Callithrix jacchus: one gene and its partners. The protein of the gene in region 1 interacts with the protein of each later gene in a pairwise test. Links are inferred from orthologs where the notes say so. Each region holds a gene or a part of one and is shown in the gene's direction. Other genes may lie near its edges.

Region 1 (3,500 bases):
CCCAATCTGCACATTTATTTATTCTGTACAGGATTCTATATAAGATTTCCTCTTGGAAAAAAGTTTATATTGTATTCGAAAGTTTGGAGACAGTTCCATGCTTAGCAATTGTTCTAGTGAATCTAAACCTAAATGTTGATGTTCTTTCTTCATACCATTGTGGGGATCTGGTAAAAAGAAAAATGGCTCTTGGCACTGAAATCTTGATTTGTAATTTATACAAAGAGTATTTGTCTGTCTCGTCACCTTTCTTCTACACTCTCTCTGGCTTATGGGAACTTTTTAGCATCTACTTTACTTGACTGCAATATATAGTATAGTATTTGGACCTGTATTATAAATTATAAAATCTTTAGATCTGCAACAGTTTCCCAGAGATATCTCTACTTGTATTTTAAAAATAAAACTGTGTGTTTTTCCCTTTAGAAATATTTAGAATAAGGGAAGTTTACCTCCACAGATGATTTATATTCATCTTAAGTTTGTAGATGAAGTACAAGGATGCTGGATTAAAACTTGTAAAAACTAGAAAGTTGGGAGCTGAAAACCAATATTGCTGAGATGCATAGCCTAAAACATAGTACTCAGTAGATATGTCATTGAGAGAAACCAATTTGAGATGCACTGTATTTACGTCTTTTAACTCAGGAAGTGTCCAAAAACTGATGACAGAACCAGTCTCTTCTGCCTTATAAGCCCCTTTTTCTCCAATAAACAAAAGTCCACAATTTCCCCATTTCTTTTAATTTAAAGAGCATTTTATGGTCACTTTGATTAATCTAAATATGAATGTTTGTAATGTTAAAACAGAATAATTACAACATGCTCTAAGTGGGGGGGGGCGGAATTTAAACTACATATTTAGTGATTTTAAAATTCTAATAACTGAACTTCCATCAGAAATAGAATAATGCCTTATAGCTCCTGTTTCCTATGTTTTAAATAGGAAATAACTCTAGACAGGTTGTGGTTGAATTTCTGTGTAAGTAGGTAGAATACTGTAGCATCTCTTCTGAGGAATCCCTTTACTTTATCCATTATTTTATTTCATTTATTTTTTTGAGACAGGGTCTCACTTTGTCACACAGGCTGGAGTGCAGTGGTGTGATCTTGGCTCACTGCAACTTCTGCTTCCTGGGTTTGAGTGATCCTCCTGTGTTGCCATGCTCGGGTAATTTTTGTATTTTTTTTTTTTAATAAAGACGGGGTTTCGCCATATTTCCAGGCTGGTCTCCAACTCCTGAGCTCAAGCGATTTGCCCTCCTCAGCCTCCCATAGTGTTAGGATTGCAGCCACCATGCCCAGCCTCTCAATTCTTTCTTACCCCTTCTCAGCATACGTATTTTATTGAGCCAGTGCGTTATGCTTTCATGGAAATAGTAGGTTCATTTTAGTCTTGCTTATTCATTCATTATCATTTCCCTTTTACCTATTGATTGATGGTTTGTGTTTCTAGGCTCAGCTTGCCAATCGGAAACAGAAATTAGAGTCTGTGGAACTTTCCAGCCAATCAGAAATTCAGCACTTAAGCAGTAAACTGGAGCGGGCCAATGATACTATCTGTGCCAATGAGTTGGAAATAGAGCGCCTCACCATGAGGGTCAATGACTTGGTTGGAACCAATATGACTGTTCTCCAGGAGCAGCAGCAAAAAGAAGAAAAATTGAGGGAATCTGAAAAACTATTAGAGGTGTATTTTAAAATCACTATAATTGGGGGAAGTGTGTGTATGAGTGTTTTAAGAGTGTTGTTCAGCTAGAACTAGGTTCTGCAATCTATACTTTCTTTCCTACTTTATAAGTGTTAATGTTGTAACTGTTACATAACTTAATAGTCTGACTTCCTGGCTTCCTCATGAAATAGAAAAATTGTAATAATATCTGGCTTAGCAATTTCTGAGTATTTTGCAGGTTATGCAGGAAGAAAACGGAATTGAAAGAACATTATAATCATATCTGACTTTTTTGCAGGCTCTGCAGGAAGAAAAGAGAGAATTGAGGGCAGCTCTTCAGTCTCAAGAAAATTTCATCCGTGAGGAAAGAATGCTAAAGGAGAAATTACAAGAAAAAATAAAGGCAGCTGACGCTCAACACGCTGCAGAAGCTCTAAGGTAAATTTAACCTTCAATATTACTCATCTTAGCCACTTAATGGCTAGGCATTAAGCACTAGGTTTATTTAATTTAATTTTAATTTTAATTTTATTTTATTTTGAGATAGAGTCTTCTTCTGTCACCCAGGCTGGAGTGCAGTGGTGCAATCCTGGCTCACTGCAGCCTCCACCTCCCAGATTCAAGTGATTCTCCTGCCTCAGCCTCCTGCGTAGCTGGGACTACAGGTGCACGCCACCACCCCTGGCTACTTTTTGTATTTTTAGAGATGGGGATTCACCATGTTGGCTAGGTTGGTCTTGAACTCCTGACCTCAGGTGATCCCTTCACCTCAGTCTCCCAAATGCTGGGATTACTGGCATGAGCTGCTGTGCCTGTCCAAGCACTAGTTTTAATATTGCATATTTATAATTTTATGTTTGATCATATCTGAGTTAGGTTTTTAAGGTGTTATAAAATTTTGTTTGGTTAGTTTTCTTCTGCCTCCAGTTTGGGTTCCTAACAGAGACTCAGACTCTCATGTTTAAAAAGTTAGAAACCTCTTGGTCAGTTTGCATGCTTGGTGAATCTCCAGATGTGAAGGGAATTGTCATTCATGTCTTCTGTGTCATTCCTGTCTCCTGGAGGCCTCACTTTCTTGGTGGAATAGGGAGTGATTAGTAGCTGCTTATCATTAGTAGCAGCCAGCCATTGGGCTAGCCTTCTTGCTTGATTAAAGTCTGTTGCACACTTTTATTTTTGCCAGAATTCTCCTGTAACTTTTCAATTTTTTTGGTACAGGGTTTCAAGTGTCAGTGAAGTGATTTTGCCATTTTGTCTTTTTCCCTTGAAAAATAGGCCAAATCTCAGTTAAGAAGGGAGTAAATTGCCGCTGACTTTTTAAAGAAGGAGCATCTCTGGACTCTTGCTTTCCTTTCCCAATATTGTTTTTATAAAGCAGGAGGCATTCCCAATATTGTTTTTATAAAGCAGGAACTCATTTATAAATGAGTTCCAAAGAGTTTACCAAAAATGATTGGAAAATACAAACTAGATGTGCATTGTTTTTTGTTGGCAGAGATAAAGGCCTTAACAATCATCCTATGTCTTTCCATAGGCCAGGGGAAGACTCTCCGGCAGAAAAGAAGTACACTTCTCAAGGGCAGGGGGACTTAGACAGCGTGCTGTCCCAGTTGAATTTTACCCATACTAGAGAGGAACTTCTGCAGGCAGAGGTTACTCGTCTTGAAAGCAGGTACGTGATTATACACACATTTCAAAAATTTTAAGTTATTAAAATGAATTTTTGATCATATTTATAAAGTAAATAAATATAATAGTTCTAGTGAAAAAAATAAGATTTTTTTTCTAGCATCCACAAATGGACTGTGTTCTTATTTATTTTTTTTGA
Region 2 (3,953 bases), on another chromosome or scaffold:
CTAATAGAACCCCAAATAAAATCCATTTACGTCACCACACACTCATTAAGCACCTGTTAATAAAACCTATTCTGAAATACTCTGACATGTTGGTTAAGTGGATAAAATACCCTCGGCGAGGCTGGGCGTGCCGTGGCTCATGCCTGCAATCCCAGCACTTCGAGAGACTGAGGTGGGTGGATCACGAGGTCAGGAATTCAAGAGCAGCCTGGCCAAGATGGTTGAAACCTCGTCTATACTAAAAATACAAAAATTAGCCGGGAATGGGGGCAGACGCCGGTAATCCCAGCTACTTGGGAGGCTGAGGCCGAGAACTGCTTGAACCTGGGAGTAGAAGGTCGCAGAGATCCGAGATCGCGCCACCCCACTCCAGCCTGAACAACAGTCTCAAGGGGGAAAAAAAAAATCCCTTTGGCGCATTGCCAAGCAGGTTCCTCGCCGTCAGCAGCATAATTTATGGTTTTCGCTGAGGCTTAAGTATCCGTGATGTGAGATTCTCCCTAATTTCCCGATTTCTAAAACCCTTCAGAATCTCCCTCCACCCACACGATGTGGCAGCGAGAAAAACCGTATTCTGTTTACACGTCAACGGTAAGAAGAGAACACATATTTTGCTAGGTCAACAAATCATGCAAGATCTCCACCCGAGAGATCAGTAGCCCCTTCCCAGTGAACCCTTCTAAGAGCCTGGAGATGAGTAGTAGGGCTGGACAGAACCAAGCAAGGCTGGACCAGAGGAGCCGACCGTGAGAACCCTTCCCCCAAGCGCAGCGCTCGGCCGGTTCTTTCTTCCCCGGGCGCCTGCGCAGCGCACTCTCCGGCCACCGCACGCCTCCTCAGCAGAGCCTGGAGACGTTGACGTCACCGCGCAGACTGCAAGCAACCCTTCGTTCCTTCAAGGAAAATGAGTCCACGCACCTTCGGCTTTTCTTAGCCCCCAGAAAATGTCCTCCCTCCTTCCATCCCAGTGCCAACGACTTCCCCAGCCCGTCTCCTTTTGGCGGGACTTCTCCGTACTTTCGTTGGACCCCGAAGGCGGCGGAGAGGAAGAGAAAGGGTGAAAGACCAATTCGCGTTGTTTACAAGGAGTAGGCGAGTCTAGGAATCGATCCGCGAGGGCGGAGCCGAGGAAGCCGGCACTTTTTCCTCCCTTCCCCTCCCTCCCCAGCCTTCCCCGCGAGCGGACGCGGCAGCGCCTCTGCCTCGCTTTTTCTTATTTTTTTCCCCCCTTTCCCCTTTCTTTTTTTTTTTTCCCCCTCCCCCCCTTTCACCATTTCCCCTCGGAGGCGTTTTCCCCGGGCAGGGGCAGAGCCGGTCTCACCCCCCGCCTCTCCCCGGCCCCCGCCGCCCTATGGCGAAAGGGAGCCCCCTCCCCACTCGGGCTCGAGCGGCCGCGGCCTTAGGCCGGGGGTCATCATGGAATTAATTCGCTGACGAATCCAGAGGCCGCAGCCGTGCGTCCCGCTCGAGCGCTAGCGCCCGCGTCCCCCGGCCCGCTTCTGCCTCTTCTCCCTCCTCAGTCGGCCCCGTCGTCCCGCGCGCACCGCCGCCGCGCGTCGAGGAGAATGAAGTGGTAACGGGCTGCCGGATGACCCCTCGTCACCATCGTGAGGCCTACAGCTCTGACGTGGAGGAGGAGGAGGAGGAAGAAGAGGAGAAGGTGAGGGGTGGGGGGCGGGGGCGGGGGGCTTGACGCGTCTCCGCGGCCGGCGCCGACGCGCTGGGGCCCCGCCGCTCCCCCAGCGCCACCCGAGTGGCAGCACTCGTAGCTGCGCTCTGCTTGCTGGTGACCCGCCCTCCCGCATCTCCCCAGTCGGGGGAACCTCGGGGCCACCCTCTTCGTCCTCCCGCCCCAAACCAACCCGGTACCTGCCCAGTTGAAAACGGCCTTACTGTGTTCCCTTTAAGGCCAGTTTTTGTGTTAGCGAGTAACTTTTTTTTGTGGCAGCAGCAAATTACCTACTCTATAGTGCGTGTTGGAGGCTCGGCGAGTCTGTGTTTATACACAAAGAAGGGGACACACCCCCACCTTAGGATGAACGGTCCTGCGGGAACTCCGGGAAGATGCCTAAGTTTGCAAATAGGAGTAAATGCCAAGTGAATGGGGTGAACTTCTGGTGTGGGAAATTCGGGGGAGGGCAACATTACCCAGGGCTTGGGGCGGTTGGGTGGGGGATTCCGGAGGAGGTGAGATTTGAGTTGTACCCAAAAAGCCAGATTAAATACCGGAATTTGAAGGAGAGCAAATGGGCCTCTGATGGAGCTGGGGGTTCCGTTGCAGATCGTTTTGGCAGAAGTTGAGAATTCGGTAGCACAACAGTGGGAGGTGTTTCGGGAGGTAGAATGGATTCGGACTCTGAACTAAAATATTTAGGTTTTATTCTGTCAGTGGGGAGCCACTCTGTTTTGAGCAGCAGATCATTACAATAATGATGTTAAATAACAACACTTGAGGCTTATCTGCCAGGCATTCTCGTAAGTGGCTTGCAATTCATTTAATCCTCCCAACGCTGGTAGTAGGAGCCTCATCTTACAGATGAGGAAAACTGAGACCTACAAGATTAACTTTCTCCTTAGGCAACACGGCTAAAACCCGGTAGCCAGAATTAAGTCTGACTCTACGCTGTGTGGTCTCTGACCTGAAAATGGGTTTGTTGAAATAACTGCTTCTAGCTTTTCCAGGTCGTTTGTGGCACATGAAATAGAAAGGATTGGTCAAACAGATTAAGAAATAATGGACGGAAAAGATTTAGATTGGTTAATTTGGGACCAGAGAATCTCAAAGAGATTCTGAGCCTCTGGACTAGAAATTTCTTAATACTGATGAAGTATCAAGAAATACACAATCAGCATGTGTTAGGGAAGTTCAGTAAAGTTGATCTGCAGTTACAAATAGTGAGTTTATGTGGTAATGTGACATCCTGGTAGGTTAGAATGGGTCTTACAATATGTCTTGCTCAAGATTGGAAGTGAGAGTCTTTGTTTTGTTTTGATTGTGTAACATTAAAAATGAATATTCATCTTCCTGTGTATGTGTCTTTGTCTTTAAAATGGGCTTTATGGCTGAAATGGGGGTGTAGTGAAAAAATAAAAAACTAGAAAAAAAGGGACTTACTATTACCAATTTCATGAAGTTGTGGGAAGATTACATGAGTTAATATGGCATAGCACTTTGAACAATAGGTGGCCAAGTAGTAAGCACTGCGTGCTTTACTTTTTAAGCTTTTTACAAGTGAAGCTGTTATTTATTAGGCATAATGCTAAATTCTGGAGATGGACATGAAAGAATTCATTATAATAGGAAAGGCAAGTCTTCCAATAATCACGGAGCAATTAAATGTAACAGTAGAATTATGTCCAAGTACAGATGAAGGAAGGCAGGGCACAACTGCACAAATTTAGAGTCTTACAGACTGATGTAAACTTTAGGAAGGGAGATATGAGCTAGAGGACATTTAAAGTTGAAAGAACAGTTTTTGTACATCCTTGGAGATCAGGAAAGAGCATACACTTGGAATTGCAAGTACCTTTATTGTTTCTAATGCATAAAAAAGTCAAGGAGTGAATGGTAGAACTTCAGGTGTCTTGTATGGTCACATTAATCCCTCCTTTCAGAATGGGAACTAAGATTCAGAACTCAGCACCAGTACAGGATTATTAATGGAATTGGTATGATGATGATAGTAAATACGGTAATACCTATTAGTGAAGTTGTTTATATTGTATACCCAGCACTGTGCAGCACTTTTCCTTAGAGCAGCAGGGGGCCGTGTATATATATCTGAAGTAGTTACGCTGTACAATAAGCATTACCTATTACCTCAGACATTTGATAAGCGTGGAGAAAGGAGAAGCAGCAGCAGTTGAGAAAATGGGAGGAGAAATGTGAAACTGGTTTAAACTTGTGTGTGTGTAAAAAAATGCCAACCAAAATAGTTTTATGTTATTTCCTG
Region 3 (4,038 bases), on another chromosome or scaffold:
CATGACATAGTACCCATCTTAAAACTGTACACATAGAGCCTGCTTTAACCAGATGCCTACAAATGCTCAGGTTTTCCTTCTACATATAGAAGAAAATTCCTCAGCTGCCAGGGCTGAAGCCAGCGGATATGCACTAAATGACAGAACAAAGGATTGTGCCAATTAAGTCGGCAAAGCTTCCTTGCCCAGAATATAAATCAAACAGAATAAAAAGCGGGTTTATTGGCTCGAGGAAAAGGAGCAAGGACACCCAGCTTTCAGGCAACCTCGAATTCTCTCTGTATAGGATTCACCAACCCCAAGGTCCACTGGGGTCCTTCAATCAGAGAAGTCCGTCCAGGGCCTTCCCTCGTGGGGTTGGGGATGGCTAGCTGCCTGATGGAGAGACCCCAGGCTGTTCAGCAGCAACGCCTGGCACAGCCGAGGCAGCCTCGTAGTCTGCGATGCGGCGCTGTACCAGGGCAGGCATGAGCTGCACGTAAGCGGCCATGAGGCGGTGGTTGGAATGGATCAGCTTCCCAGCACAGCTGTGCAGACAGGCCTCCTAGAAGGAAGACAGGGTTTAAGAGGAGGGTAAAGGTGTCTTTCCTGTCAGGCCCGCCCCCTTCCTTCCCCATGCCCAGCCTAGGGGTGAGGGCCGTGGAAAAGGCCAGGGCCAGAGATAGGGGAAGTGGGGAGAGGAGGGAAGCAGTCTACTGCTAAACTATCTGTAGCGTAACTTCCCTACACAGTGCCCCACCTCCTCAGCGTCCAGAGCTCGGTGGTGCAAGCTGGGCACACAGCGCTGGAAGCAGAGTTCTGTCATCCGATTGTAGACCAACAGGAAGTCACGCAGCTGGGAGAAAAGGGAGACCACACTTCTACTCAAGGTCTCGCCGCCCATAGTTTCCCAGGCCCGCGCACCATAGCCCGATGTTTCCAGCCCTCAAATCCCTGGCTCCATGGGGTTCCCGCGATGTGCGCAGGAATGCGAGCTGAACTTCTGGCCCCGCAACGACTTAGTTCTCACTCACGTTTCTAAGTTGCTGTTGTTGCTGAGGCTGCTGCTCCATCACGCCACCGGCGCATGCCCTACGCCACTTCCGTTTCAGCTTCTCGGTGCCGCCCCGGAAGGAACCTCTCGCCGCTCTGGAGAACTAGCTCGAGCATCGCCCTGCCCGCGGCTGCGACGTCACCTCCGCCCTTATAATCTGCGACGTGGCCGGCTTCTTCTGCCCGGAGAGGACGTCACTTCCGCCGAGTCCCTGACCTGCTGCTAGGATCGCGACTGGAACTGGAGCCCGAGGTCCCCGCGCGGCCCGGGCCTGGCGCCCTGAGGGGAAGAGCGGCCCGGCCCGAGGTGAGAGGGACATGCTTGGGCGACGGGAAGTTGAACGCACAAACCTGTCCAGAGGGCAAGATGCCTCGAGCCCTGGGGAAGGATGAGGACACACCTGATGTCCAGGTGTATGGGGGTGGGGGCGGGGACTCACACACCTGAGAGACATAACTGACTGTGGAAGGGATCACCGCTATCCTGGGAGAGAGGCTTTTACCAGAGACTGGGAACATACATCAACTGATCTAACTAAGGCCTGGTGGGGAGGGCCCGAGGAAGAGGAGGTGCATGAGACAGAGGAGGGGGAGACCCCCTGAAGGAAGGGGGAAGAAACACTAAAGGAGTGTGAAAGGCCAAGCAATGGAGAACAAACCTGAATTGGGCGGGGGGGTGAAGACCGGAGCCCTGGAAAGGCTCAGCATAAGCACGCCTGCATGGAGATAAGTTCTAAGAGAGCGGGCTTTCCCTCTTCACTGTTGTGTTTTAATTGTTAGAAATAGTGCTTGACACATAGGAGGCACCCACTAAATGTCTGCTGAATGACTGAATGAGTATATGAATAATCACCAGAGTCCTGGTGAGACTGGGGACTTGTGAGGAGACACAGTGCTTTGGTGTGCCTATGTACACATGTGCATTTTGGAGGGGAGAAATACATACACCTGAAGAAAGGAATGGTGGCCAAACGCTGGGACACTCAAACCCTGCGACAGCCTTTGAAACCTCAGAAATGACAGGGGGGGCCTCCTTCTTCTAGAGTGCTGGCCGGTGTCCAGAACTTCTGTGTTGGGCTTTGCAGGGTGCTGGGGTGGAGAGTTTTACTCCAATACCTTCCCTAGCCATGACGGACGGGATCCTAGGGAAGGCAGCCACAATGGAGATCCCTATCCACGGGAACGGCGAAGCCAGGCAGCTTCCTGAAGATGATGGGCTGGAGCAGGTGCTTCTGTTTGATTTTTCTAATTGTTTCAATTTAGGAATCCAATTTCTAAGCCCTGGGTTCTCACCCCCGATTCCAGTAGCCTTCCCCTGACTTATCTGACTCCATTCTTTTTACATATCATTCTGATTCTGTGCAGAGTTCCCTTGTATACTGACTTTATGATGCTTGAATCCAAACTTGTTCCCACCTCCAAAATGCTTCTGCTCCACCTATGTTCCTGAAGCAATCCCTCTTCTCTGGCCTATAGGACCTCCAGCAGGTGATGGTGTCAGGACCCAACCTCAATGAAACCAGCATTGTGTCTGGTGGCTATGGGGGCTCTGGTGATGGACTCATCCCCACAGGTATGAATGTTCAGAAACAGGAAGCTTGGGTGGAGGAGGGGACAGGAATGGTTTGGGGAAGCATAGGATATGTCAAGGAAAGCTTAAATTATGTCTAGATATCTTGGGAACTTCTGCTTGTATGAACCCCATGGACTCTCCTCAGCCCAAGAGCAACTCCCAGCATTGTCCATCCACTTCCCTTTTGCTATTTGGCCCCTGAAATGGCTCATTTGTCCTTTCTCTGCCACCACCTGAGCAAAGTTAAGACCTACTTCACAGGAATGCCCTACTCTACAGCTTGAGGCTGAGTTGGAACTTTGTGAGGCTTCTCAGAATTTTATTTTAGATTCTAAAGTTTAGAGGAACAAACAGTCCTGAATCTCACACTAAGATTCCACATGGGAATGCAACCAGGTTTCTTGTTAGCATGATCCACCATCCTTTACTCCTGCTACCCCCAAAGTCGGTGTATTTTCTTCTGTTTCCTCTGCCCCTGTACACCAGCAACTCCCTGCAAACCCCTCCTCCAACCCCTAAGGAAGTCATATATATACCAGGATTTGGTTCTCACCGTGCAAGATTCGAGTTCCTCCTAGTAAGCAGTAGAATCCAGTTGTCTTTAGCATTTCCTTCAGGGAAGTCAATTTCATGTGCTGGGAGAGAAGTATGGGTGGGGCCACAGAGGTGTCATATGTCTAAGAGAGGCTGGTGTCAGAGAACTTGATCCTTTAGGGTCTGGCCGCCATCCATCTCACAGCACCACTCCTGCTGGCCCTGGAGATGAGGTGGCTCGGGGCATCGCTGGAGAGAAGTTTGACATTGTCAAGAAATGGGGCATCAACACCTATAAGGTAGAATTTAAGCACCTCTCCCTTCCCCAAAACTCCTTATGGGTACCTTTTTTCCCTTTTTCTCATGATCATAAATACCTCATCTGTGGCTGAGAGTAGGAGCCTGGGGGTGCTGGGATAGATATTGTTGTGTGGGGAGGCTATTAGGGTCTCTGACCTATTCCCCCATTTCCCAATCAGTGCACAAAGCAACTATTATCAGAACGATTTGGTCGAGGCTCACGGACTGTGGACCTGGAGCTAGAGCTACAGATTGAGTTGCTGCGTGAGACGAAGCGCAAGTATGAGAGTGTCCTGCAGCTGGGCCGGGCACTAACAGCCCACCTCTACAGCCTGCTGCAGACCCAGCATGCACTGGGTGATGCCTTTGCTGACCTCAGCCAGAAGTCCCCAGAGCTTCAGGTGCCTCAGCCAGACCAAAGAGGGTGGGGGAACTGGGCACGGGCCCTCTCAGGCAGTCATTCCTCATCCTCCCTCCCTCCTGCAGCCCACAGGGAGAACCCCTTCAGGGTGGGCCCAGCCCTACCCCCAGCAGCACTCACCTGTGGAGGCAGCCTAAGGGTTTGTACAGAGATCCAGAAGTTGGAGGGGGTGGGGGAG

What was found. The genes of interacting proteins can lie anywhere in the genome.
Region 2: the proteins of CEP63 (region 1) and CCNI interact in a two-hybrid assay, tested with the Homo sapiens proteins (2 studies listed by BioGRID and IntAct). The link is inferred for Callithrix jacchus from reciprocal best matches to the Homo sapiens genes CEP63 and CCNI.
Region 3: the proteins of CEP63 (region 1) and ARFIP2 interact in binary tests that used the Homo sapiens proteins (3 or more experiments, as listed by UniProt). The link is inferred for Callithrix jacchus from reciprocal best matches to the Homo sapiens genes CEP63 and ARFIP2.

The regions. Positions count from the first base shown.
Region 1 is NC_133518.1:49,629,266-49,632,765, reverse strand, and holds part of CEP63 (centrosomal protein of 63 kDa), read left to right. Parts: intron 1-1,456; coding exon 1,457-1,690; intron 1,691-1,970; coding exon 1,971-2,110; intron 2,111-3,206; coding exon 3,207-3,344; intron 3,345-3,500. UniProt on the Homo sapiens protein: Required for normal spindle assembly.
Region 2 is NC_133504.1:120,960,686-120,964,638, forward strand, and holds the start of CCNI (cyclin-I), read left to right. Parts: upstream 1-1,153; 5' UTR 1,154-1,660; intron 1,661-3,953.
Region 3 is NC_133511.1:72,167,111-72,171,148, reverse strand, and holds the start of ARFIP2 (arfaptin-2), read left to right. Parts: upstream 1-1,238; 5' UTR 1,239-1,339; intron 1,340-2,117; 5' UTR 2,118-2,159; coding exon 2,160-2,258; intron 2,259-2,508; coding exon 2,509-2,605; intron 2,606-3,319; coding exon 3,320-3,438; intron 3,439-3,618; coding exon 3,619-3,999; intron 4,000-4,038. Other genes in the region: TIMM10B (mitochondrial import inner membrane translocase subunit Tim10 B), read right to left, coding at 368-544, 740-883. UniProt on the Homo sapiens protein: Plays a role in constitutive metalloproteinase (MMP) secretion from the trans Golgi network. May have important functions during vesicle biogenesis at certain cargo subdomains, which could be predominantly utilized by secreted MMPs, such as MMP7 and MMP2.